Linked DNA regions of Callithrix jacchus. The protein of the gene in region 1 purifies or fractionates together with the protein of each later gene. This does not show direct contact. Links are inferred from orthologs where the notes say so. Each region holds a gene or a part of one and is shown in the gene's direction. Other genes may lie near its edges.

Region 1 (3,500 bases):
GTCTACATATTCCTCAGAGATATTTTTAAAATACCATGAAGCTGAATGTCCTTTTGTGTTTATTTTCCCCATGTTTTGTTTTCACTATGAATCTGCAGAACTTAATCATCATTTTTGTTTTGCTTAATAAATGTATTTTGCTCATTTTAATATTTGTGTATTGAGCTGGTTTTCATATCAAGAGAAACTTTTAAAGTATGAACTTTATTTCTTAGTGTTTTACAACACTAATTTTCCTATAATTATTTGATTGCTTAGGAAGGGAGTTTAATCTTATTACTTGGAGAGTTTTCATCATCTAGTAACATTTACTAATAATTTAGTCTTCATTCTTTTATAGTGAACTAAGTAAAAATAAGTATCTCGTCGACATGGTGACTGAAGCTCAAATGTCAGTGTCTTATTGTTCAGAGTATAATTGAGAATAGGTTATAATGCTTGGCTGAAATAGATGTTACTCATGCTCCTAAGAGAGGTACTTGGTCAGATCTTTATAACCTAAATCAGTAACTTGCTTTATTTATTTATTTATTTATTGACATGAAATCTGCAGGTTAGGTGATTGTGTTTCCCTGCACATCACAAATTATAAACTGGCAAAAGGGACCCAATAGCCTAATGGAGAGAAGAACTACAAAATGCAGGAATAACTAGAGAACAATAGACTAGGTCTATATAGTTTAAGGGAACATAGACCTGCCCAGCTTAATAATAATTGTAGATTAACTATTATTAAAATATAGCATAATAGGTGATTTTATGACCAAGGCCAAAATCTTAAGGAAAGATTATTTCTCTTCATATGATAGGTAAAATGAATATGTTTTGGAGGGTTTTTTTTCCCTCTCATAAAAATAGTTATTTACTTATAAAAGGCTTAAATTCTAGAGTGTAAAGTTGAATTATATAGAACAATTAGCTACATTATAAATGAATACCCTTTATTCAGGTTTCTCTGCTGCAAAAAAGAAAAAAAAACCAAATGAATAACTTATTCCTCGAGTACCATATAGACAAGATAACACTAAACGTTATTTTGTTTTAAACACTAGTTTTGTTTTTAGTTAGCTCACTTAAACTACTAATTGTAAGCCACCCTGATTTAAATGTTAAGTGCTTTTTGGGGGGATTTTTATATCAGCTTGTTAAATTTTCCAGAAGTTTAGCCTAACACGTGTATTGTGTCAGTGCTAAGTAGTATTTTTTATTAATAAAAAGGCTTTGTTTCGCTGCCAGTATTAGACTTTTAGGGTAGATAACAAGCATTCTGTTGGCCTTTGTAGGAGGGAGGAGTTGAGATAGCATATATCTGTTTTTTTTGTTTTATTTTGTTTTGAGATGGAGTTTTTGCTCTGTCTCCCAGGCTGGAGTGCAATGGTGCAGTCTTGGCTTACTGTAACCTCTGCTTCCTGGGTTCAAGCAATTCTCCTACCTCAGCCTCCTGAGTAATTAGGACTACAGGTGCCTGCCACCACCCCTGGCTATTTCTGTAATTTTAGTAGAGATGGGATTTTGCCATGTTGGCCAGGATGGTCTTGAACTCCTGACCTCAAGTGATCCTCCCGCCTCAGCCTTCCAAAGTGCTGGGATTATAGGCATGAGCTATCGCTCTTGGCCCTTATATCTAGATTTTGAAACCTGATGTTTGTTTACCGATAGTAACAGACTATCAGGTGTCATTATGACAAGTAGCACACTTGTCACTTCTGCTGTCAGTCTTGTATACATTTCTCTACTTACTTTATAAAGACAGGCTCCTGTGTATGTAATGAAATGGGCCTGTGAGATTTGCAAACGACGAGAATAAACTACTAGACTTTTTAAAAATTTGATTTAATGATGAAGACTAGTAAAAGCTTATGGGAGGTGTTAAGTCTGTTCATTATCTGTTCTAGTAATACTTGGGATACTTTATTTTGATATATTTGAATGCATAGTATAGATTCCATTTAATGAATAAGAAGCAGTTTAATTGAACAAGGTTGGAAACCTAATGTTTCTGTATTTCTCTTTTAAAGTTATTCCTTATTGATTTTGGTTTGGCCAAAAAGTACAGAGACAACAGGACAAGGCAACACATACCATACAGAGAAGATAAAAACCTCACTGGCACTGCCCGATATGCTAGCATCAATGCACATCTTGGTATTGAGCAAAGGTAAGTTAGAAAATGGAATGTGCTTATCATAGCCATAGCAGAAGCCGTCAAGGGGTTCTTGAAATATTTTAATTAGTTCCTTACAATGTCTAAGAATGTTTCTTGGCTGAGGATTTGAAGGATGCTTATTAATCATTTTACCTGCTGCTTTAGCCAGCGTTGAGAAGCCAGTTAAATGAGGTATTTTAGTTTTTTGTTGTTGTTGTTGCAGGTTGTTTCTTGAGGGGAAAATACTGCTTGATTGAAAGTTAGAAGCCTAAGTGCAATGTTGAAATTTCTTTTTGCAGCTGAAAATATGTTATTAGTGTCCTAACAAACCAAAAGGGGGTTAATGTTAATCTCCTGTTATACTTCACTCAAATATGTCAATTAATAGGATCTAGTTTAAAGTAAGAAAATTTCAGTCTCTGCTCTCTTTCTGTTTCTTCATATGAGTTCTAGAGTTTCAAGTTCATCTTTTCTACTCACTTTTCATTCATTAAAACAAACATAGAAGTAATTGGAAAAAACAATGGTATGCGTCCAGGTTTAAGAACCTCATACAAATGATTTCAAGCTTAAGATACCCATGAATATCTGAATATCCTAGGTTAAACTGTAATGTCATTTGTCCTATATGCCAAAGAATTACCTATCCTTAAACCTATCTATCTGTATATTTGTATGTATAGATATGTATGTGTGAATACATTGATATAGATGTTCAGATATTCCATTAGTTTTAAGTTGTAAACTCCTTTTCAGCACTTTTTTTTTTTTTTTTTTGAGATGGAGTTTTGCTCTTGTTGCCCAGGGTTGAGGGGTATGGCGAGACCTTGGCTCACCACAGCCTCCACCTCCCAGGTTCAAGCGATTCTCCTGCCTCAGTCTCCCGAGTAGCTGGGATTACAGACATTTGCTACCATGCCCGGCTAGTTTCATATTTTTTTTTAGTAGAGATGGGGTTTCTCCATGTTGGTCAGGCTGGTTTTGAATTTCTGACCTCTGGTGATCTACCCGCCTCAGCCTCCCAAAGTGCTGGGATTACAGGCGTGAGCCACTGAGCCCAGCCTCCTAAGTTATCTTGATGAGTTTCTGCAAAATTTAGAAATGTTGCCCTGCTTGATTCATTAAGCTCATTTCTCTAGAGAATTGTTTAGCTAAATCCTTTTTGTTCTTTTAAAATTAAATTGTTATCTTTAAGGTTTTTTTTGTGTGTGTGAAGAGTGAAAAAAAGAAATAAATAAAATTAAATTGTAAGACAGTTGTTTGTCTGATTTTGGATTCCATGAGAAAAGTTTTGTTTAGAGGTAACACATGAACTTTTAAAAATCACCTTAAATAGTAGCTTCTTGCATAAGAC
Region 2 (3,500 bases), on another chromosome or scaffold:
CCTGAAGATAGCTAGAATCTAGATAGGCAAAGGAGAGAAGTTTTTCTCTAGTGCAAGTAAATAGCATGGGCAAAAGCTTGGAGAAGAAAAAAATGTATAATATATTTGGGAGACTTTGAAGAAGCTAGCAGTATTGAAGGTTTGTACTGGTGAGCATTTGGTAGATAAGTGAGGGCCATACATAGAAATTTAAATACCAGAAGAAAAAAAAAGTTTTGGCTTTACCCTTTGGAGAATAGAAAGCTATTCAAAGCATTGGAATATTAAAGTGATATTAAGAAAGTATGTTATAGCATTTATCACTTACAGATAATAAAATTAGTCATTCCCTCCACAAAATAAAAAATGTCATAGTTCTGTGTAAAGTCAACTCAAAATGATCATATCTCTCTTCTTGAATATGTTCTTTCTCATTTTCTCATCCTCTACTTCAGGTTTGGTAACAAAGAGGAATACATGGCATTCATGAATGATTTTTTAGAACATGAATGGGGTGGAATGAAGCGCTTTCTTCTGGAGATCTCTAATCCAGACACCATCTCAAACACCCCAGGCTTTGATGGTTACATTGATCTGGGCCGAGAGCTTTCAGTTTTGCATTCCTTACTGTGGGAAGTAGTTTCCCAACTTGATAAGGTAAAGTAGGTTCATGGAAGATAGAGAACTTGCATGTACCTGAATTCTGGAAGAGTACCTATAGAGCAATAGCACTCACTCTTTCTAATTGAAAGCAACCTTTTACCTTGGAAATCTGAGAGGAAATGTTCATCACTTCTGAGTAAAATATGGGATCTACATCCATGAAATTCTAGAAAACCATGACATTATTAATATATTTTTTTAATAATATCTGAATTAATGGGGTATGTTTCTCTAAATTTATATATACAGAGTGCATATCTGAAAACTTGACTAGAAACTAATATATTGTTATATACAGCCTTATGCATGTCTAATAGGATGAGATGAAACTTCATATGGTAATTTCTAACAAAAGTGTAGACTTAGCTAAGAAAATACTAGGTTTATCATGTTTAAGTTACTTTACCCATGAAACAAATTTTTTTACTCTACAAGTCAGAGAGTTTCATGTAATTCTTAGTGCTAAAAGTTACTGTTTTCTTCCTTTACAGATGTGAATTAAGAATACAGAAAACAATTATTTTTAATCATTTGTTTGCTAAGAATTTTATTATATACCATACTAATAAGTAAATGTACATCATGCCAATCATTGTCTTCCTTCTGGAATTTTACAAAAAGGAATAAATTTGGTAGTAAAAAAATAGTCTAATGGAGTTTGGCTAGGCTGATTACAATAATTATTTATTGATGTTTTTGTTTGCTACAGGCACTTTATAAATATGTATGGTGTTATGTTACAGTAACTTCAAAAGACAGTTATTTTTCTGTGATAAGGATTTATTTGTTTTCCTCCACTTTCCTGTTGATAAAAATGCTATACCAGTAAAATTTGGAGGGAAATAAAACCTATTAACAAAGACTACTTTGCTGAGGAAACATAAATGGTAGTGTGTCCTCCAGTGCTTAAAACATTTGTAAAACAATAAACTGTTACTTATTCTTGAGGACCTTTTCTTCACTTTTAGAAATGCTAGCTAGATTTTTAAGTTGCAGCTATGCCAAAGGTAAATCCTTTTCATGTGAATCATAGCCCAACATTGTTGAGCAAGTAAAGGTATTCTTCAGATGGCATCTGTGCCTGTTTGAGTAGGGTAGAAGAGTCTGTTGATTGTTGAGAAGACAAAGACCCAAAGGCAACTATGTCAAACTAACAGTTGAAGGGACCCGTAAGGCCCCATGAGAATAAGAATTCCCTAAAGAAAAAAATAATTGAGATGGATAAAGAGTTAGTCTTTGTTGAATAACTGCATCTCAGTGGGATGCAGATTCAGTTATCATGTGAAATAGGCCTGGTTTATTCAGTATCAAGATCTTTTTAACAGGCTTTGCTGTGAAAACACTTTCTCCTTTTTAATCCTGGTTTGTTCCTGGGAACCAGGAATATATCTAGACATATCTCATAGAGAAAGTTGACCTGATTTTGCTGTTAAATTACACCAAAAATTGTCTTAACTGATGGAAACTCAGTTGGCAGTGGGTCAGGGTTTCCAAGATTGACTATGATAGTGGATGGCAGTATCATTTGTGTGCCCTGCAGTACTCTGGATTCCTGAATGCAGCACCTTGTATGTTGGCATGCATTTCTTTTCTCACATGATCCCTTTTCTTTGAAAGTTTTATCATACTAGCTGATCCTGTGGTCTTGAAGTTCTTTTGGTTAGAAGGAGTTTGGTTCTTCCCTTACCCTCCCCCACCTTGATTTACTAGACTCCCAAAGATTTAGTTTGCTTTGCATGCCTATTTTAGTTGGAATGGCATTAGTTTGCTAGTTTTGAGCATGTCTTTTAATTTTTATTTGCATAATCCTGATTTCGATTTCCTTTCTTTCCTCAATGTCTGCTGTACCTTGTTTCGCCTCCATTCATCTCGACGCCATGGTTCTGCTGCTCCATAACAATGCATTATGAACCTGCCACTCCCATATGCAAACACCTACCCTTCCCTCCAACCTACACCCCTCCATCAATGGCCATCGTTATGCCAAAAACAATCTGTGGTGGATGTCGCAATGCTTATTATCCAATTAGGGTGAAAATTCCTTCCTACAGGCGACCGTGGCAAAACTGGGGCCTCTCCCTCGTGTTCTTGCTGATATTACCAAGTCATTGACTAATCCAACACCAATACAACAGCAACTGAGACGCTTCACTGAGCATAACTCCAGTCCCAATGTCAGTGGAAGCCTCTCCTCCGGGCTGCAGAAAATATTTGAAGACCCCACTGACAGGTATGAAAGAGAGGATTTGACTAGTATCTCAGAGAAAGATAATGTTTAGATTTAACAGAAGTATATTTAACCTATGTGTTGAATTTACAAGTTTAAAATCATGAGTAATTGAAGACTCATCTGACCTGAGAGCAAGCAGTCCAATTATTTGTTATAATAATGCACAAGATCTGGGATAACTTCTTTTCTAGAGTGATAGTATGGAGAGTTACAATATATTCCACAGTATATTTTTTAAATTTCTATCTTGCTTAACGGAAAACTAAAGGTTTTATGAAATTGATGTTTCTATACATTTTAGCATTCAAAATCTTGAAGAACTCAGTTAAAACTATTTTGTAGCTGACTATGTGAGCCGGACAGGTAGACACAATGTATGCTTAGAATGTTTTCTGGATTGGTAAGACTTGTGCCTTTAGCAGGGACCTTTCAGTTGTGCAATCAGAACTTCTCCTCTTGAAGGTTTAGACAAGTATGAATTGGAATATTTGAGGAAGGTTTCAAATTTAACTAGGAAATTACTGGAATCCTGAAGACAGTGGTGGGTTGGTATCTACAATGTTACTCTCTACCCTCGGAGAAAAAGTAAAAATGCTGGATTTTATTCTGAGAATTGTAATAATTCCCT
Region 3 (3,987 bases), on another chromosome or scaffold:
GAGGGGCCCTAAGCGAGGGCCTGAGGGGAACCTGGGGGGACTGGAGCACCAGGGGCAGCTTGGGGTGATGTGTGGGGGTTGCTGTGTACATGGCGGGGGAGGGGCACCTGGCATGTGGGGCTTGATGTGCACGCTGGGTCCCTTGTCTGTGTGGGACTTGGTTTTTGTAGGGTCCCCGTGTGTACACCCAGGGTTCCATATGTGTGAGAGAGGTCCCCTGTGCTCTCAGAGTCAGTGTGAATATGGCATCCCCTGTTTGCCTGATCCCCTGGGTCAGTGTCTGAGGGATCCCAATTGCAGGTGGGGTTCTCCACGTGCGCAGACGTCAGCGTGTTCCTGGGTGACTGGTGTGCAAGACTGAGTGTGCTTGTGGGTTCTGCCTTCCTGAGGATTCTTCTGTGCTTGTGCGGTTGGTGTACATGAGGAACGGGTCATTCCAGGCCCGCGTGTGCATGGGGGGTCGGTGTACATGAAGGATGAGGGACAGGTCATTTGGGGTTCGTCTGTGCAGGGGGTCAGTGTGTGCAGTGTCCCCTACACGGGTGGGCGTCGGTGTACGGGGATGAGGAAGAACAATAGGGCACCCCAGGTGCTGTGGGCATCAGTGTGTGTGGGGGAGCCGGGGCCTGGGGGTCCTCTGTGTGGGTGGGGTCGTCCCCTCTACGTCTGGGCGCCAGTGCGGAAGGAGACCGGTGTGTGGTGAAGGGATCCCCTGCGCTCTCGGGGCTCCCAGACCCGGCCCCACCCGGCGCTCGGCGCCGCCGCAGCGTACTCACCTGCCTTACCTGCCTCCCCAACTTGGCCAGGAGGCCAGAGCTCCGCCCCTGGCGTCGGGCTGGCTCGTTTCCTAGCTACCGAGCCGGAACTTCCGCGTCACCCCGACTTCCGGGGCGAGGGTCAGGGGTCAGCCTAGGACTTTGAGCCTGGGGTCAACAGCTGGGCTCCCCGGGGCCGGGGTCTTTGAAGTGAGGGCCTCACGGCCTCCGGCGGCGCTGGGCCGGGGTCCCCGCAGGGTGCGGGCGGGTCGGGGCGGACGGTCGGGGCGCGGGCCGGGGCGCAGGAATGCGGGCGCGCCGCGGGTGGGGCCGCCCCGCCCCCAGGTGCTGCCCGGGCAGGCAGGAGGCAGGAGCGCCGGGCGGGGCGGGGGCGGGCGCGTGAATCAGGCCGGGCCGGCGGGCGGGCCGCGCAGGGAGTGGCTGCCGGACCGACCGGACCGCGAGGCCGCTGGGCGGCGGTCGGCTCCTGCTGCCCCTGTGCCGAGACCCCGCGCACCTGGCCAGGTAGGGCCCCCTCCCCCGGCCCGGAGGGGCGGGGCGAGGTGGGGGCGGGCGCCCCTCGGTGCGGTCCCACCTGGGCCGCCCTCGCGCCAGCACCTGGGCCGGGGCCGCGCGATCCAGAGAGGGGCGTTGGAGCTGGGGCGCGGCCGCGTGCGCGGGGCGGCGGGGGGCGGCTCGGACAGGGGGCGCCGCTGCGCGGATTTGGACGCGAGCGCCCTCGCACGACGCCGGCCCGCGAAGAGCCGATAGGAAGGGGCCCGGGGCCGGGTCCAGCCTGCCCGGCCGCCTGGTCCCGCCCTCGCGGCCTAGTTGGAGTCTGGGTGCTGGGCACGGGCTGGACCCGTCCCTGGGGACGGCCGCCGTGGAGTGGGGTAGCCAGAGTGCGGCCTGGATCCCCGCGTGGAGAGCAGGACGAGCGACGGGAGTGCTGCCTCTCGTGCCCACGTTCCTGGGGTGGGGTGGGCGGATGGGGCCCCCAGCCGCCGCAGTTGCGAACGCGTAGGGTGCGCTGACCACGTTGGGCGCTGGGGTGCCCACCCCGCAAACTATCACTGAGCGACTTCCGGTCTGTGAGCTCCGTCCTCCCCACCCCACCTTTCCGCCTCCTAGAGCCTCCACGCCCTCCTGTGCCCGTTGGAACGGCACAGGCTCACCCCACTTGGTGTAGGAACTCTGGATCCTTCCATGGGGTCCTCCTTCCAGATACCCCACTTACGGCCAGGGTGGAGAGGATGGGGTCCTTAAAGTCCAGCTGAGAGCCCTGACCTCAAGTCACAGATCGGGGTCAGCAGAAGAGTGGATTCGTGCTGAGTCATTGGCCATGGGTGGGTTCCGTGCCCTCCCTCCCTTGGGCAGGCGTTGCTACACAAATGTGTAGGCATGCAGGCCACTGGAGTGCTCCATCTCAGGCTCGGGAGTGGCTGCGGCCCCGTCCATAGCTGGGGAGACACGGACCCATGAAAGGGGACAACACGGGGAATGAAGTCGTTGGAGGAAGCCATTGGCATCACTCTGTGTGGACGCTGGTGTCTGCTGGAGGGCTTTTGGCCACAGGGGCTTCCACAGTCCTGACAGTCCCTGCCCACATTACACACAGCCTGGACACTGTTGACTCCCCTACCCTGTGAAATCCAAAGGGACAGTGGGGGTCCTTTCTAGAGTGCTGCCCCCCCAGCAGCAGGAAGTGCCCCTCAAGATCAGCAGGGCTGTTCCCTCAAGCCCTGTGTGATCAGACACTGCCTCTACAGCCAGGCTGGCAGTGGTGAGTGGGCGCCCCCACCCAGCCAGACAGGCCTGCCCCTCACCCCCATGTGGTCGGCCTTGATCTGCTCCTGGCACAATCAAGACAGTGTGCCCTAACCAGCCCCACATGTCAACCATGAGGACAGTGCCTCAACAAAGAAATGTTGGGACAGCTTCTCCCAGGCCGGTTGGCATCTGGGGCTGGATAACTGAGTGGCACCAGGTATTTCCCACGTGTCAACTCCATGTCACCCCCAGGTGCGCCAGGCAGGACGGCTGCCGCCTGACCTTAACATTCTCAGCCAAGTGGCTCCTGCTAGCACCCATGCAGTCCAGCTGGCCAGCGCCCATCCTGTCAACGCCCCAGGGCACGCTCCTCTGTCTGGGCTGAACTGCCTCCCCAGCCAGGGCCAACATTCAGGAACCTGTGTGCTAGGTGGGGATAGGTGTGCTGCCTCCCTCAGCAACCTGAGGAGCACTGGGATGGGCTGAGTGCTCCCTAGGGCTCTCCTTCCAGGGAGAGGTACCCAGGTAGCTCCATGACCATGTGCACATGGGCCCTGGGCACCCTATAGAGGTCCCCATCAGACACCTTTCTGGAGAGGCCAGGCCCCCTGCAGGGACCCTTTGGAGAACAGGGTGGGCTGTGGGGCAGGCAAGCGTGGATGGTGGTGGGGAGCCCAAGACCTGGAAAGGTCCCTGCTGCTTTGGACTGGGGTTGGTGGGGACAGGACTCTGAGCAAGTAAAGAGCGAGATCTGGGGGCTGTGGAGTGCAGGCCCTGAAGGACCTGTGGGCACCAATGGGCTGTGGCCCAGGGAGGTTTCATCTAAGAGGGACAGTGACAAGAGAGAGGTCAAGGGTGGGCCAAGGGAAGGAGAGGGGCTGGTAGACAGGGACAGGGTCTAGGGGTCAGTTCCAGGGCTGGGTGGTCAGAGGATGGGCTGTGGGAACCCAACTGTGAAACTGAGGATGGGGAGGAGGTGTGGCTGAGGTCCACTAACGAGGACCTCCGCGTTCCTGGAGGAGGGTGGTCACAGCCCTGTTTGCTCATCTTAGGTGAAGCATGGCGTCATGTGGACCCTCAGCTGTGTTGTGCAGAAGATGTACAGGCCAGAGAGGTGCAGTGACTTACTCGGGGTCTCCCAGGCAGTCAGAGAGACACAGGCAGCATGGGCAGACCAACTTGTTCAGTAGGCACAGTGCCAGGGGCTCATGAACATCTTAAGAAAAAAAGCGAATATTGTAATGATGAACGTAGCCCAGATTACGTTTGTCTTTAAACCAAGAATCATGAAAGTTTTAGAGGGTTTGGTTTTATTTTTTGTAGCGATGCAGTCTCACTGTGGCCCAGGCAGAGTGCATTGGCACAATCATAGCTCACGGCAGCCTGCAACGCCTGGACTCAAACGACCCTTCTGCCTCAGCTTCCAAGTGGCCGAGACTACAGGCACGTGCCACCATGCCTG
Region 4 (4,158 bases), on another chromosome or scaffold:
TTAGTAGAGACAGTGTTTCTCCATGTTAGCCAGGCTGGTCTCGAACTCCTGGCTGCAAGCGATCCACCTGCCTTGGCCTCCCAAAATGCTGGGACTATAGGCATGAGTCACTGCGCCTAGTCAAGAATCGAGATTTTTAAACTAAGAATCCATTGAAACAAAAACAGACAATAGAATCAGCTCTACAGATAAGTAAGATACTGGGCTTAGAAGATAGGCAACCTAAAATAACTATGATTAATATATGCAAGAGAGGAAAAGATGAAGGAAATAAATTAAAAGATAAAGAAGTTCTTTAAACTATTAGCTTCACTGGAAAAGAATACAATATAAATCCTAAAATTGAAAAGGACGATGTTAAAGCATTAATAAATGAGTTTGTACATTGGACATAGAACAAAATAGAATTAGTAAAGAGAGGTTATTAGAAACTATCCAAAATACAACGTGGATAAGAATGAGAACTATGGAACAGAATTAAAAGACAGAAAAAATATCAGGGAAAAAATTCCAAAGGAGTAGGAAGAGACAGAAAAAAATAAAGCAATATCTAAGGAGATACTAGCCAAGAATTTTCCAAAACTGAAAAGATACCAAGCTATAGATTTAGAAAAGCCTAAATGGGATAGGTTTAAAAACACACACACAAAAAACCCCACAACACTCAGCCATATTATATTAAAATAGCTTTAAGGAGTACAGAGAGAAGGAAGAGAAAGATAAAACAGTAAACAGCAAAGAAAAAGACACATTACTTTCAATGAAATTTACAGGTGACTTCTCAGTAGAAGATAATGCAAGCCAGAAGACAATAGAACGCTATTTTTGAAATGCTTTGTAAAAACAAAGAAACAACAACAACAAAAACCCCAAACTGCTGAACTGGTATTCAGTACTCAGTAAACACATCCTTTATAAATTAAGGTGAAACAAAATCTCTCTTTCTCCTGGCTCAGCCTCCAGAGTAGCTGAGATTACAGACGTGCTCTACCGCGCTTGGCATCACCATTTTCCCAAGAGTGGAAAGACATTTTTAAACAAACAAATATCTAGAAAAAAATTCACCTGTGCTTGCCCTACAGTAAACAAACAGGAAAACTGAAGTGAGTTCTTCAGACTAAAGAAAAATGATCCCAAAGAGAAACATGGAAATCCAGGAAGAAAAGAGCAAGACTGAAAAGAGTACGTTTGTGAATGTATATACAAATAACTGTTGACTGCATAAAACAATAATATATATTTTTTAAAAAGGTAAAAAGAAAAAAACTTCCCTGGGATCCTGGAGTTAGGTTTACCTTTCCCGGTCTCTCTCGCGCGAGATCTGGAAACCGGAAGTGAGTTATTTTGCAGGAGTCTACGACAGTTGGCAGCTCTACTTATTAAAGTTGGCGGGAGCTGAGCGGTCAGTCGGGCCTGGGCTGGCTGTGGTGTAGAGCTTGAAGGCAGCGCTCCCCTCCTCTGGCCGGCAGAATGCGGGTGGCTGTGGCCGGCTGCTGCCACGGTGAGCTGGATAAGATCTATGAGACGCTGGCGCTGGCGGAGCAGCGCGGTCCGGGGCCTGTCGACCTCTTGCTGTGCTGCGGCGACTTCCAGGCGGTGCGCAACGAGGCGGATCTACGCTGCATGGCAGTGCCGCCCAAGTACCGCCACATGCAAACCTTCTACAGGTGAGGACGCGGCCCGGGCCGGGACTAGGCTATGCGGGGTGGGACTGTGTTCGATTTCCCTCTTATCACTGGCTGCCTGTTTCCCTTAGATCCTGTCTTTGTTCGCTCTGTGTTTCTAGGACCTGGCGCTTAGGAAATGTCACTTTCCTTCTTTCCATACAACCATCTTATCCATTTCACAGGGGATTGAAGCCTGGGAGGGAACAACCTGGAGGAAGGAGCTGACAGGTTTAGAAGCTACCTTGTACTTGATAGGACTCTGGAATTCATTTAATGATCCAGGAGTTTTTACTGGGCGCCTGCTAAGTGCTTGTTGCGGTTCTAAAAGATGAGGTTATGGCAATGAACTCAATACAGTTCTTGACTTAATTGAAAGTACACTGACCTGAAGCCCAAGGTGGAAGCTCTTCATTCCTAAGGGCAAGGATGGGTACTGGGCACTTCCTTTTGAAAGAGCTTTTTAACTTTTTATGATGACGTCAGTTTTTGGTTTTGTTTTTCGGAAATTATTTGCTTTTCTGCTATGCCTACTTGTGGTAACTGATTTTGCTCTTACGTTCTAGGTATTATTCTGGAGAGAAGAAGGCCCCAGTTCTCACACTTTTCATTGGGGGAAACCATGAAGCCTCAAATCATTTACAAGAGTTACCCTATGGTGGATGGGTAGCACCAAACATTTATTATTTAGGTATGTGTTTGTGGATAATTTTTTTTCCTGGGATGGAAGAGCCTATCAGGATTTGCGTTAGTTGGGTTGTTTCTTGAGATGTATGGTGTTTGGAGAATATCATTAATTTAAATAGTTAATCCTGAAAATGTAAACTATTTAATTATTAAATAGGTGAGCATGAAACCACACCCTTCATCTAGTGTTTTAACCACTAGCTAATATAATTGCAAAGACCTCGCGCACTATTTGTAGTCGCTTCTTTTTTTATCACAGTTTTTATTGAATTAAAAAGAAGACCAGCTCGGCGAGGTGGCTCAACCGTGTAATCCCAGTACTTTGGGAGGCCAGGGCGGGCTGATCACGAGGTCAGGAGTTGGAGACCATCCTGGCCAACGTGGTGAAACCCCATCTCTACTAAAAATACAGAAAATTAGCTGGGCATGGTGGTGTGTAGGGCCTGTAGTCCTAGCTCCTCTGGAAGCTGAGGCAGGAGAATTGCTTGAATCCGGGAGGCAGAGGTTGCAGTGAGCCGAGATCATGCCATTGCACTCCATCCTGATGACAGAGTGAGACTCTGTCTCAAAAAAACAAAAACCAAAAACCAAAAACCTTTTATCCTTTGGATTTCCTATAATCTGCTTTTAGATTGACAGATTTGATTAGATTGTCTCAATATTAGCCCCTATAAACTATATGGCCTTTTCATCTCTTTATTTTTTATTTTTTGAGACAAGGTCTGGTTCTGCTGCCCAGGTTGGAGTGCAGTGGTATGATCTCAGCTCATTGCAACCTCTGCCTTCCAGGCTCAAGCCATCCTCCCACCACAGCCTCCCAAGTAGCTATGGCTACAGACGTGTACCACCATGCCCAGCCAATTTTTTTGTTTTTTGTACTTTTTTTGTGGAGATGGAGTTTGACCATGTTGTCCATGGTCTTGAACTCATAAGCTCAAAGTGATCAGACCATCTGGGCCTCCAAAGTGGTGGGATTACAGGCATGAGCCACCGCACCCAGCCCCATCCCTTTATTTAAATATATATTCTTTCTAGAACTGTTTATAGATTTTGACGAGATCGTAATTTCAGAAATTTAGTTTCCCTACTTTACTACTTATTGATCATCTTTTAATGTATTCATCCTATATTATAATGTGAAAAAGTGAAATTGTCAGAATGTGATCATTCAGAAATGATATTAGAAAGCTGCAGCTTCTTTTTTATTTTTATTTTTTTGAGACGGAGTTTCGCTGTTGTTACCCAGACTGGAGTGCAATGGCACGATCTTGGCTCACTGCAACCTCCGCCTTCTGAGTTCAAGCAATGCTCCTGCCTCAGCCTCCCGAGTAGCTGGGATTACACGCGCATACCACCATGCCCAGCTAATTTTTGTATCTTTAGTAGAGACGGGGTTTCACCTTGTTGACCAGGATGGTCTTGATCTCTTGACCTCGTGATCCACCTGCCTCGGCCTCCCAAAGTGCTGGGATTATAGGCGTGAGCCACCGCGCCTGGCCTTCTTTTTTCTTTTTTTTTTTTTTTAATTTTTTTCTTTTTTTAAAGACGAAGCTGCAGCTTCTTTATACCTTATGCCTGTTGATTTTCAGGTTTATAACATATAAATCCATCATGGGACATTTCCCTCCTCTCACTACCTCACTCTTGTATTCAGTTAGGTACAAAGTTATGTCTGTTTCACGTTCAGCACACTATCTCATTTGTCCCTTCCAGAATCTGCTTAGTCTTTTGGCTAATCTAATTCCAGACATCTCCTTTATATTTTGTTATATCACTAATATACTGCTGGCATATTATTATATAAAAA
Region 5 (3,500 bases), on another chromosome or scaffold:
CAGAAGTTAAGGTCATTACTTAGCCTCACCCCAGATAAGAAAGAAAATCTATCCAAAAATAAAGCGCCTGCCTTTTATAGATTGTGTAGTAGCTCTGACACGTTAGTTTCTGAGGGTGAAGAAAATCAAAAACCAAAGAAATCAGATACAAAAGTTGATTCATCTCCTAGAAGAAAGCATTCTTCCTCATCCAACTCTCAAGGCAGCATCCACAAAAGTAAGGAAGATGTCACAGTTAGCCCATCTCAAGGGATAAATGCTCCATCAGATGAAAATAAAAGAACACCTTCTCCAGGCCCAGTTGAAAGCAAGTTCTTGGAAAGGGCAGGACATGCCTCTGCCCCAAGATTTAACACTGAACAGATCCAATACCGAGATTCAAGAGAGATTAATGCTGTTGTTACTCATGAGAGAAGACCAACTTCTTCTCCAAGGCCAACACCCAATGAACTTCTACGAACTCATTCAACTGACCGGCGTGTTTACAGTCGTTTTGAGCCATTTTGTAAGATTGAGAGCTCTATTCAACCAGCAAGCAACATGCCAAATACTAGTATACATCGCCCAGAAATGAAATCTGCGACTATGGGCAACAGTTATGGCAGGTCTAGTCCAATGCTTAATTACAACACTGGCGTTTATCACTCATATCAACCGAATGAGAACAAGTTTCGAGGATTTATGCAAAAGTTTGGAAACTTTATACACAAAAATAAATAGCTATTAAAATGCAAAATGAATGAGGCTATAAATATTTGTCCAAAGAAAATTGTGGACAGTCTTTGTAACATGCCAATAGATTTCCCTAAGAACAGAATGATGGGTATGATGTATATGTTCACCAGTGTACCATATAAAGTTATTTTTCTGTGTGATAAAGTTATGGTCTGCTGTAGATAGAATATCTCTGTAAACACATAATTTGTAAGTGGTAATGGTAAAAATATCAGATATATTTAAATCATTTTCTTTAGACTGAAGATCTTAAGTCTCACTTAGAGACTTTTGTGGATGATGTATGGTATATGGATTTTAACCATTTCCTTTTAAAAAGGTCATACTACCCTCAGTAATCCTTTATAACATGTCTTTATAGTGTTTTCATATCTTCAAAAATATAAGCAAATGGGACTAAGGCTTTTTTAAAATTAACTTTAAATTCTCTAGGATAACTTGTTATAGTTTGTTAGTATTAATTTTTCTGTGGAACATTGTACAGATATTTGGGCAACAGCAGTTCCATTTGAACTTTTTTTTTCAAATTTTGCCTGAAGTGTTTGCAAAATATCATCCTCATGTAGTGTAATGACATTCATAGAAATTTATTTTCCTAAGCCTTTGAAACTGTCTGGGATGTGCTTCTTTCTTCTCTGGATGCAGGGAGCTGTACTCCTGCCATCCTTAGGCTGCTGATTTTTTTATAGTCATTCCTTACTTCACATTATGGGTTAAATCCATATACCTACTGATAACAAATCAGTAGGAATTTAGAAAACCTGAATGATTACCCCTCCTTTCTTTATTCTATAAAAGCTTTTAGAAATGTAAAATTCTGCCTTTAATTTTTTAGATTGCCGTGACAATGCTAAGGGGTCTTGCTTTTGAAAATTCTTGATTTTTTTTTTTTTTTTGAAATGGAATCTCACTGTATTGCCCAGGCTGGAGTGCACTAGCATGATCTCAGCTCACTGCAACCTCTGCCTCTTGGGTTCAATCAATTCTCCTGCCTCAGCTTTCTGAGTAACTGGCATTACAGGCAGGCGTGGTGTCACCACACCCAGCTAATTTTGTATTTTTAGTAGAGACGGGGTTTCACCATGTTGGTCAGATGGTCTCAAACTCTCACCTTCATGATCTGCCCGCCTCAGCCTCCCAGAGTGCTGGGATCACATGTCTTGCTCTTCTTTAAGTTGTGCCACTTACAATATGACTGCATAGTGTTTTCATAAGAATATAATTGGGAAAATGAGAAGTTGTACTAGCCTAGTTCTGCCATGATTTAAGGATGATTTCAGATTATAAGATACCCTTTTTCTTACCGTAACGAAGTGTAAGCTCCATATCTGTTCCAGAGACTTTAACTTGACTTTGCTTCATTCGCAAAGAACAGAATTCAAGAAGCAATATATCCTGTGAGAAGTGTGAAGTGTTTTTACATCACTTTAAATATATTACTTAATATATTCTAAGTTGCTGTGTGAAGCAGTATACTGTTGTTTTAAAAATGCAAGATTGATACAAATTTTAATATGTCTCATTGAAATAATTAAAATAATGGCATTAAAATATCTATGTAATTAAAGTAATTTTCCATAGTGTTTGGAAACCATGAAAAAAAAGAGAAGAAAATATGACAGGAAAAGAAAGCCTAACAGAGCCCAGAACCCACAGTTAACCAAACTAGACTGACTTTGTTATTACCCATTCTCTGTTAATATTGGATGGGGATTTAGGATAATGAGCCATTAGTCAGTTCTGAAATGGAAGGCTCTGAAATTTAGTGCAATGTAACTTTAAAACTGAAATTATATAAAGACTAGAAGTGTAATCATGTTTGATTACAACCAAAAACCTGTTGCCTTTTTGTGCAGAAATTTTCTTAATTTCAGGAAATATAGATAGCTTATGGAAACATCCTTCTAAATAGTTCCTGAGCTCTTCCTCATAAGTGTATTTGAAGAGTACAGAATGCTTTATTTCATCAACCCATGACAGGTAACTTAGGCTTTTGCATAGCAGATTTATTTTTCTCTGCCTTTTAAAAAAATTGTTTTTCTTGTTTTTTTTTTTCAAAAATACCTATATTTCAGAATATGTACATAACTTACCAAAGGCTCTGTGGCCAAGAAACTTTCCAGGGATAAGACTAAGCAAAAATATAATACTTCAAAAAATTTATAGCTACTGTTTAAGTTTTAAACAGACACCATCACAGTTTGTGGATGAAATAGTTTTAAGCCATATACTTTCTGTCTTAAGCCACATGCTTTCTCCCCATATTAACATTAGGGGACTGATAATGTCACTTTGACGTACTTTGATATTAAAGTTTGGTAGTTTTACTCTCTACATAGTTCTGTACATTGGTTTGTAAGCAGAAACACAAGGCAAATGGGTAAAATTTCAAAGTAGTTCTTGGCAGACAGCTAGAGAATAGTGTAAGTGACTTGTATCCCGAATACGCCGCTTTACCTCTGTTAAAAGTTTGGGAATAACCATAATTCTGACATGGTGTTGAGGTATGGGTATATGTTGTCAGTCTACACTTGTGGAAGCAAATACCTTTTTTACTCAAGATGTCTAGTGTCATCTAGATAAATAATGCCAAAAATTTAATTCTGGCTGAATTCAGCTTTACTCAAGATCCACCTGTTCAACTGTCATTCCACAAATATTTCTGTGTTCTGTGAATATCTGTTGATTTCTTAGTGTGCCTGTGGCTAAGGGATGCAAAGTAGAATTGTCCTTTTACATTGACTATAGGTGTGACATGTACGATG
Region 6 (4,101 bases), on another chromosome or scaffold:
CGGTACACGGATGGCCGCTTCCTCACCCGCCCGGCCTCCCTGGGTTCCTCCGGAAAATGAGGGCACAGATGACAGCGCCCACCAGTTCCCTGCGATCTTCCGCGGGGGGCGGGGGCACGGATGCTGCCTGGCCTGGCCGTCGCAGGGGCAGGAGCACCCATACGCCTCGCCCGCCGCTGGGTCGCTGTGGGCGCCCGAGCGCCCACTCACCACCAACGTGCACTAGGCCAGGGCTGGGACCCTAGGGCCCCGTGGGGCTGGAGGCCGAGGAGACGAAGCCAGAAAACCGCGCCTCCCCGGCAGGACTGCGGGGCCGGGGCCGGGGCCGGGGTGGGCGTGGGAGGACCCGGCGCGGCACAGGCTCGTGGCCGAGCTCGGGGACGTGGAGCCCGCGCGTCCTTCTGGGGGGTCGGCGAAGACCCGGCTCCGCGCGGTGGCCGGGCCGCCCTCCCCTGCTGGGGCCTCTGCGGAGCGAACGGCCTGCAGAGGATGCGTCGGGGAAACCCCAGGACCCTGGACTGGCACTGCCGGTCGCCGTCGACCAACTTCCGGCGCCGCTCAGGGCCCGCGATCGCGCCGTAGCCAGGCAACCAGCGCGCAGGCGCAGTAGGCCCTCGGCGGCCCGCAGCTCCTACCGCCCTCGGCGCATGCGCCGGCGCCGCCGCCGCCTCCTGCCCTCCAGCCTCCCGGCCCAACGGAAGAATGAGAGGAGCGCGCCCGCGTGAGGGCCCTGCGCTTCTCAGTGAGGCAGAGTAGCCGTTCTCGCTGCGTGAGCCTGCTAGCATCGGTCCTGCAGACTGATTTCCCCCTTGTGGCCTTGAGTGAAGAATCCCATCACTTCTCACATCTTAAAACGAAAAAAGACTGGGAGAAAGAGCCAGCGTAACCAAGGCGACGTCCCGGGGCGGCCCCGGCGCGTCCGGCTGGGCAGGTGGCGAGGGGCGGGGCCAAGCGGTGAGGCGGTGGATGGACGCCGGCGGGGGGCGGGGCCACGGGCCGGGAGGGACGGCCGAGGGGCGGGGCCAAAGGGGAGGGAACTACAGGAGACGGCGCGGAAAGACGGGCGGGGGACGGGACGAAAGAATGAGGCGGGGAAGAAGGGACGCCGGCGAGGGCGGGGATAAGGGCGGCGGGACAGAGATGAGGCTGAAGGGGACGGACGCCGGCGAGGGCCGGGGACGAGGCCTGGGCCGTAAAGGGATGAATGAGAATGCAACTGGGCCGCCGAGCCGAGGGGCGGGGACAGGGGCGGGGCGCGCGCTGATGTCGCAAGACGGACACGTCGGCGGCGCGGCGGCCGCGGAGACCGGAGCCGGATGTGCCAAGATGGCTGCGGCAGTTTCCGTGTCTGCGCTCGTCATCAGCGCCGGGTGGGCTTTCACGCGCGGCTCCTGAGCAGCCGATCTCTGCCGCGCGGGTGAGGGGGCGAGCGCGGGACGAGGAAGGCGGAGGCCGGCCAGAGGAGCCAGGCAGTGGAGGCCGGGGCGCGGCGGAGGGGAGGCGGCGAGGCCCAGCCCCTAGCGGGCGGCGCAGCTCGGGTCCCGTCGGAGCCGGGCGAGGAGACTGACGCCGGGGTCCGCAGGCTGGAGCGGGAGGCCGGGCGCGGCAAGGCGCGCCGTGGGACTGAAGGGACTCACGTGGACCCGGCTGGGCCGCGGTGACGCCTGTACCCCCGGCGGGAGGCTTACCCCAGGCACCCCTCGTAAAACCCCAGCTTTTCAAATGAACGTGTCTTGTCCTCACCGGCTGGAAGGTTTCCTTAGCGGTGCTGGTGAAGAGAGATTTACATTTGAACCAAGGAGCAGAGTTGTTTATTTGTAATTTCTTGATAGGGCGATCCGGGTGTTGCAACAGAGGCCGAGGGTTAGAGGAGTGTGTGTGATCCGTCTCGCCCCTTTGTCATGGAAGTGTTACAGTAGAGGCTTCAGAAACATCGGAGCGATTTAAAGTCAGTTTTTGCTGCTTCACTTAAGAACACTTTTAAGTGGCTTGTAGGTTGGGTGTGGATTGTATATTAAGATTGCGTTTTACGTGTATGATGCCGATGTTAACCAAAGAGGTATTTCCCATCCCCCATGTGGCAGTACGAAGCAAACAGAACCGCAGACAGTTCTTCCCGAGTGATACTTTTGCAAGTTTCAGCACAAGGCAGCCTCCCTGCATTTTTCCCCGTCTCCTTTCTTAGGGTTCCGGTGCTGGTATCTGGCAGAAAAGAGGCAAAGTAACGTTTCTTTCTTGTTCCCTGTTCCTCGTTTACTGTTAATAGTGGTTACTACAGTGAGTCTCAGAATTGTACTGAAAGTTTTCTTTGAGGCAGTGGGTACATTTTCTTTCTTTCTTTCTTTTTTCTGCCAAACCTGAGAGGCCATGGTAGTGGGTAAATGTCAATATGATTTCCTCTTCTGTAAATATCCTTGATGAATACCGGGGTGTCCTTTTGGGTCTTGGTCATTTTCAGCAGTACTAGGCTGCTGGCTGCCTCTGCCGCTGGCTTCGTCTTCAACACCCAACTTTATGTGGTTGCGATTCTAACTTAGAAGAGTTGGAGTTTATCATGTCTTTGTGTTAAGCATCCCATTGTCTGACAGGGAGTCACTAGCTGCCACCGTGAGGGAGACTGGGCAGCATGTAAGCTCAGAGGCTTCCTGGAACACCTTTGTTTTCTTTACCTAAAATGTGAGGCCAGTGACAGTGAAGAAGGGTGTGCGCGTGTTTACCTCAGTTCTGTAGCCAGAACTCTACTGAAAAGAGTTTTGCTTAGGTGTGCATATGGTTACAAGGCAATTTAACTGACTAGCTAGGTTTATGAATACTGCATCTTCAAGGTCAGGTGGCCTCTTTGAAACAGTGAAAGACTTAGATGACTTAAATAAGCTAGCTCCCTTGTAGTGGTGACATAGGTGATAGGCAGTGGCATTGCTTTCTCCTGGTGAGTAGAGAAAAAGATAAAAATCAGTTCAGGTCACAAGACTGTTCCAAATGAAATTGGCGAGTTGCTAAAAAGCTCTCATTTAGGGAGCATGAGGGTTAGAATGCTCCTTTGTAGGTAAGTGATAGTGTTTGCTATTTAAAAGGTTCTTAGTTGGGCTGGGCGCACTGTCTCACACCTGTAATCCCAGCATGTCGGGAGGGTGAGGCAAGTGGATCACAAGGTCAGGAGATGGAGACCATTCTGGGTGAAACCCTGTCTCTACTACTATTCAAAAAACTAGCCGAGCATGGTGGCACACGCCTGTAGCCCCAGCTACCCAGGAGGCTGAGGCAGGAGAATCGCTTGAACCCAGGAGGCAGAGGTTGCAGTGAGCCGAGATCATGCCACTGCACTCCAGCCTGGCAACAGAGCAAGACTCCATCTCAGAAAAAAAGAAAGTTCTTAGTCTAGGAGGAGAGCTGCAGAATAATTTTAAGAAAATGTCTACAAGGAAAACATTTAAGTATAAACCAGTGAAATTTAGATTCTGATAAGATTCCCCTGTTAAACAGCAGGTGGGATTAGGACATCCCGAATCTACCATGAGTAGAATCTCATAAGGTTAAACCCATGGTTTTAGGAAAAAAATAATCACATTGATTCTCTCATTTGGTAATAAAAACACATTGCCGAAAGAGTCATGGCTGCTTCGAGCCACTCACTCGAATGCCCAGTTCTGCTGTCATAGCAGCAGCCGAGGAATAAAGCTTGAGGTCCGAGGATCGATCCAAGATGGCCGACCACTAACAGCTCAGGATTGTAGCTCCCAGTGAAAGCCCAGAGAATGAGACGACGCCACACTTTTAGACAAATTTTCGTCACTCACTGATCAGCTGATTCCCAGTGGAGGAGCCCCACGGGTCGCCAGCGCGACTCTTGTGGCCGCCGCAGCGGTTTTGCCGGCGTCTCGGTGCCGCAGCTCTTCATGCAGAGCCAACGGGACTGCTTCCCCTACTGACTGGAGTTTGGAGCTCCGGGAAGTCAGAGCCGCTTGTTGCGGACTCAAGAGGGAAGCCAGACCAGAGATTCCCGGGCAGAAGAGCACCATCAGTCTTACCGCTGCTATTTAGGCTGCCACAGTGGGTTGCTCGGATCCCAACACTGGGAATCAATAAGTCAGACGTCGACTC
Region 7 (3,936 bases), on another chromosome or scaffold:
TCTCTTTCAGGTACAGCACTTCCTCCTGTGACCCACTTTCCTCTTGTGCTATGGACGACTCCTGGGGACTGGAACTGAAGGTGATGGGTAGAAGGGTGTCTGATCTTCTGGTAAGGGCTGATGTCTTTTACCGTCCAGAAGGCATGGAGTGGGCTGTGGCAAGACCCCTCCTGCTTGTTTCCAGCCCCCCACCTTTCTCTTCAGCTCTGTCCACCATCCACAATTGTGCCAGACCACCTGGGATGCCGACGGCCACCACTACCCCGGTTTCCCTTGCCCTCTTCTCTGATTCTCCAGAGGAAGCCTACTGCTGCCACCTGAAGGCTGAATTTGAGGTCCTGTACCAAGTCAACTTGTCCGTTCTTCCGCCCCCACCCATCCATCCTTAGGTGAGATCTCCAGCCCCGGAGCCCCTGGAACATCGACAAGGTGTCTCAGTATCTGGGGTTCTGTTCTTAAACTATGGGGTGGGAGGCTTGTAAATTAGAGTTGTGAAGGGACAGACCGCAGCAGAAAATCATGTAGATCATGATCACGATTACAAAGGCGGCTGTAATCGTAATCACGATCAGGGGGCTGTGCAAGCGGGTAATGGGGAGCCATCCTGAATCTACCCATGGGTGGCTTCAGTGTGTGTCTCTAAATTCGTACGCAAATGTGTGCATGTCAGACTACGCTTATTTGGGGAGGGGGTTCCGAGCGTTCTCCGGACTCCCAGGGGTTCTCTACCCCCACAGAACGCAGCAGCGAGAGCGCGGCCAGGGCTGGGATCCTGAGACTTTTCTCTCTCCCGCAGGGGCCGGGGCCCGCTCCTAGCGCTAGGCGTCTACACTCTGCTGCTTGTGACCCTGATGGCCGCAGACCTCGTGCACTTCTGCTGTGGTCGGGGCCGGGGTCGGGGCTAGAACCACTGCAGGCCTCCCTTTGGGTCCTCTGCCGAGAGCTCCCTGCAGGTCTCCGCTGGGACAGCTTAGGGGTGCGCGGAGTTTGCTGGCACCTGTCATCCGGGGCGGAGCGTTCCGCCCCTGCCCGGGCGCGCCCACCCCTTAGCCCCTCCTCTCACTGACCCCGCCTCCGACGCAAGAGTGGGCGGGGCAGCTTCCGGCCGAGTCCCGAGCCCAGACCCGACCCGCCCCAGAGACTGCGCCTGCGCGGGCACTGGACTACCTCTCCGCGATGACTGTGAGTGGTCCAGAGACCCCCGAGCCCTGGCCGGCTACCCCCAGAGTGCGTACCCAACCCCCGCGCCATCACCCCTTCGCAACCGCGCTGACTGTCCCGGCCTCCTCCTCCCCATCCACGAGGCGCCCCTGAATCCCTCCTCTCCTCTCCTCTTAGCTCTTGGGCCCTGCCCCGAGCCCCCTCCGACGTGGCCGCCCCTTTCTCCCTACAGGCCAACTCAGTGGCAGTGGAGCAGCTGCGGAAAGAGGGCAACGAGCTGTTCAAATGTGGAGACTACGAGGGCGCCCTGGCGGCCTACACTCAGGCCCTGGGTCTGGACGCGACGCCCCAGGACCAGGCCATTCTGCACCGGAACCGGGCCGCCTGCCACCTCAAGCTGGTGAGGGAGCCGGGTGCCCTTCCCCTCCAACTTCCCCACCCTCCCGGGACCCGGTTTGGGCATCTGAGCTGTTGCTTGGGCCCCAGCTGGACATTCACGCTTCCAGGCCACCCCGCTTGCTAGATGTGGAATGCACCTCAGGGTCGTGGGGGATTGGGTGACCTTGGAGAATGAGAGTACCCCACTGCCCGGTTAGTACCCCCTAGAGGGAGGTGACCATTCATTCGGCTCCTATCTCCCCCCCTCCCCACTCGGCTTCTGTCTTTCTCTTACAGGAAGATTACGACAAAGCAGAAACAGAGGCGTCCAAAGGTAGGGAATGGTGGGCCCTCGAGTAGCACTATAGGGCTTCTGGAGGTTGAGGATTGTGGGACCATCACATTCCCCTCCTTTTGCCCCGGAGACACATCTGCCTTCTTTCTTTCCCACTGCCTCGGGCTTTGCCTTTTCTGCAGCTACCCTTACTTTTTCTGAGGCTGAAGCACCGAGCCCCATATTCGTCCCCCACCTTCCTCTGGCTTTTCCTCGAGATCTGTCCCTACTGCTCTTGCCTGACGACGGTGGCCTCATGGGTGCTGACAGCGCTCCTGTTTGTGCTCAGCCATTGAAAAGGATGGTGGGGATGTCAAGGCACTCTACCGGCGGAGCCAAGCCCTAGAGAAGCTGGGCCGCCTAGACCAGGCTGTCCTTGACCTGAAGAGATGTGTGAGCTTGGAACCCAAGAACAAAGTTTTCCAGGAGGCCTTGCGGAACATCGGGGGCCAGATTCAAGAGAAGGTATGTGAGTGACCCAGACAGGTGGAAGCACTGATCAGTGGTGAAGGGATCTGGGCCAGGGGTATAGACAGTTCTCCAGAGAAGAGATACTGATGGCAGGTGAACATAGAGAGTTCTGCTCAACCTTGCCTGTGGCCAGGGAAAAGCAAATTCAGATGACAGCACATTACTGCTGATTTGGTGGTCTGTTTGGCAGATATTTAAAAGAAGGGACACTTTTTTTTTTTTTTTGAGGCGGAGTTTCGCTCTTGTTACCCAGGCTGGAGTGCAATGGTGCGATCTCAGCTCACCGCAACCTCCGCCTCCTGGGTTCAGGCAATTCTTCTGCCTCAGCCTCCCAAGTAGCTGGGATTACAGGCACACACCACCATGCCCAGCTAATTTTTGTATTTTTAGTAGAGACGGGGTTTCACCTTGTTGACCAGGAAGGTCTCGATCTCTTGACCTCGTGATCCACCCGCCTCGGCCTCCCAAAGTGCTGGGATTATAGGCATGAGCCACCGCGCCTGGCCTGAAAGGACACTTTTTGAGGGGAGAGGCAGACATGTCAACGGTGAGGCCGGGGGCCAAGGGCTCTCTGATGACTGCTGGAGGGGTATAAATTGGTACAGCTCTTTTGGAGAGTACTTTAGCATATCTATTACATTTGAAACGAGTGTATCTTGTGATCCCATATGTTTACTTCTTGCTGTTTCGTTTTTTAAATTTATTTTTATTTTTTTTAAAGACAATGTTGGTCAGGCTGGTCTTGAACTCCTGACCTCAGGTGATCCGCCCGCCTTGGCCTCTGAAGTGCTTGGATTACAGGCGTAAGCCACCACACCTGGCCTACTTCTTGCTGTTTCTCTCAGAGAAACCTTGCCCATGGGTACAAGGAGACATGTGTATGTTTATTTCAGCCCTTTTTGTAGTAAGAAAAGCTTGGAACTTGCCTGAATGCCCAGCCATAGGGAAATGGCTGAATACACTGAGTAATTGAATTGAATTCAATTCAATTGAAGTGGAAAGCTCTGGGACACTTGTTGAATGAACAACACAAAATAGGCAGGGCATGGTGGCTCATGCATATAATCCCAGTGCTTTGGGAGGCCAAGGTGTGATGATCACTTGAGATCAGTAGTTTGAGACCAGCCTGGGCAACATAGTGAGACCCTGTTGTTATAAAAACTTTAGTTAGCTGGGTGTGACATACCCTTATAGTCCCAGCTACTTGTGAGGCTGAGGCAGGAGAATCCCTTGAGCCCTGGATTTTGCAGGTCAGTGAGCTATGATGGTACCACTGCACTCCAGCCTGGCTGAAAGAGTGAGGCGCTGTGTCTTTCCGAGAAGAAAAGAAGAAAAATATATAATAGCACACATAGTATAATATCATTTATGTTAATGATCCCTTACGTAGCAAAACAATGCTATATTTTTTCTGTGGGGACACTGGGTGTGTAAATAAAAAACAATATTTTATTTTTTTAGATTTATTTGTATTTAAGTATTTTGAGGCAGGCTCTCCCTCTGTCACCCAGACTGGAGTGCAACCTCCTCCTCCCAGGCTCAAGTGATCCTCCTATCTCAGCCTTCCAAGTAGCTAGGACAAATGCATGTCA

Evidence for each region.
Region 2: the proteins of CSNK1A1 (region 1) and RASAL2 purify together in Homo sapiens (affinity purification with mass spectrometry; 4 studies listed by BioGRID and IntAct, counting the BioPlex papers as one, with this or other methods). This does not show direct contact. The link is inferred for Callithrix jacchus from reciprocal best matches to the Homo sapiens genes CSNK1A1 and RASAL2.
Region 3: the proteins of CSNK1A1 (region 1) and FAM83H purify together in Homo sapiens (affinity purification with mass spectrometry; 9 studies listed by BioGRID and IntAct, counting the BioPlex papers as one, with this or other methods). This does not show direct contact. The link is inferred for Callithrix jacchus from reciprocal best matches to the Homo sapiens genes CSNK1A1 and FAM83H.
Region 4: the proteins of CSNK1A1 (region 1) and DBR1 purify together in Homo sapiens (affinity purification with mass spectrometry; 3 studies listed by BioGRID and IntAct, with this or other methods). This does not show direct contact. The link is inferred for Callithrix jacchus from reciprocal best matches to the Homo sapiens genes CSNK1A1 and DBR1.
Region 5: the proteins of CSNK1A1 (region 1) and FAM83B purify together in Homo sapiens (affinity purification with mass spectrometry; 5 studies listed by BioGRID and IntAct, with this or other methods). This does not show direct contact. The link is inferred for Callithrix jacchus from reciprocal best matches to the Homo sapiens genes CSNK1A1 and FAM83B.
Region 6: the proteins of CSNK1A1 (region 1) and SEC16A purify together in Homo sapiens (affinity purification with mass spectrometry; 5 studies listed by BioGRID and IntAct, with this or other methods). This does not show direct contact. The link is inferred for Callithrix jacchus from reciprocal best matches to the Homo sapiens genes CSNK1A1 and SEC16A.
Region 7: the proteins of CSNK1A1 (region 1) and UNC45A purify together in Homo sapiens (affinity purification with mass spectrometry; 4 studies listed by BioGRID and IntAct, with this or other methods). This does not show direct contact. The link is inferred for Callithrix jacchus from reciprocal best matches to the Homo sapiens genes CSNK1A1 and UNC45A.

What each region holds. Positions count from the first base shown.
Region 1 is NC_133503.1:48,201,020-48,204,519, reverse strand, and holds part of CSNK1A1 (casein kinase I), read left to right. Parts: intron 1-2,018; coding exon 2,019-2,158; intron 2,159-3,500.
Region 2 is NC_133519.1:24,788,158-24,791,657, reverse strand, and holds part of RASAL2 (ras GTPase-activating protein nGAP), read left to right. Parts: intron 1-434; coding exon 435-636; intron 637-2,672; coding exon 2,673-2,872; intron 2,873-3,500. UniProt on the Homo sapiens protein: Inhibitory regulator of the Ras-cyclic AMP pathway.
Region 3 is NC_133517.1:53,882,094-53,886,080, forward strand, and holds the start of FAM83H (protein FAM83H), read left to right. Parts: upstream 1-1,187; 5' UTR 1,188-1,280; intron 1,281-3,577; 5' UTR 3,578-3,639; intron 3,640-3,833; exon of another isoform or gene 3,834-3,968; intron 3,969-3,987. UniProt on the Homo sapiens protein: May play a major role in the structural organization and calcification of developing enamel. May play a role in keratin cytoskeleton disassembly by recruiting CSNK1A1 to keratin filaments. Thereby, it may regulate epithelial cell migration.
Region 4 is NC_133518.1:46,156,841-46,160,998, forward strand, and holds the start of DBR1 (lariat debranching enzyme), read left to right. Parts: upstream 1-1,358; 5' UTR 1,359-1,470; coding exon 1,471-1,667; intron 1,668-2,230; coding exon 2,231-2,355; intron 2,356-4,158. UniProt on the Homo sapiens protein: Cleaves the 2'-5' phosphodiester linkage at the branch point of excised lariat intron RNA and converts them into linear molecules that can be subsequently degraded, thereby facilitating ribonucleotide turnover.
Region 5 is NC_133505.1:63,231,472-63,234,971, forward strand, and holds part of FAM83B (protein FAM83B), read left to right. Parts: coding exon 1-720; 3' UTR 721-3,500. UniProt on the Homo sapiens protein: Probable proto-oncogene that functions in the epidermal growth factor receptor/EGFR signaling pathway. Activates both the EGFR itself and downstream RAS/MAPK and PI3K/AKT/TOR signaling cascades.
Region 6 is NC_133502.1:184,951,685-184,955,785, reverse strand, and holds the start of SEC16A (protein transport protein Sec16A), read left to right. Parts: upstream 1-1,301; 5' UTR 1,302-1,316; coding exon 1,317-1,370; exon of another isoform or gene 1,371-1,417; intron 1,418-4,101. UniProt on the Homo sapiens protein: Acts as a molecular scaffold that plays a key role in the organization of the endoplasmic reticulum exit sites (ERES), also known as transitional endoplasmic reticulum (tER).
Region 7 is NC_133507.1:19,500,919-19,504,854, reverse strand, and holds the start of UNC45A (protein unc-45 homolog A), read left to right. Parts: upstream 1-1,136; 5' UTR 1,137-1,176; coding exon 1,177-1,227; intron 1,228-1,393; coding exon 1,394-1,561; intron 1,562-1,836; coding exon 1,837-1,873; intron 1,874-2,162; coding exon 2,163-2,338; intron 2,339-3,936.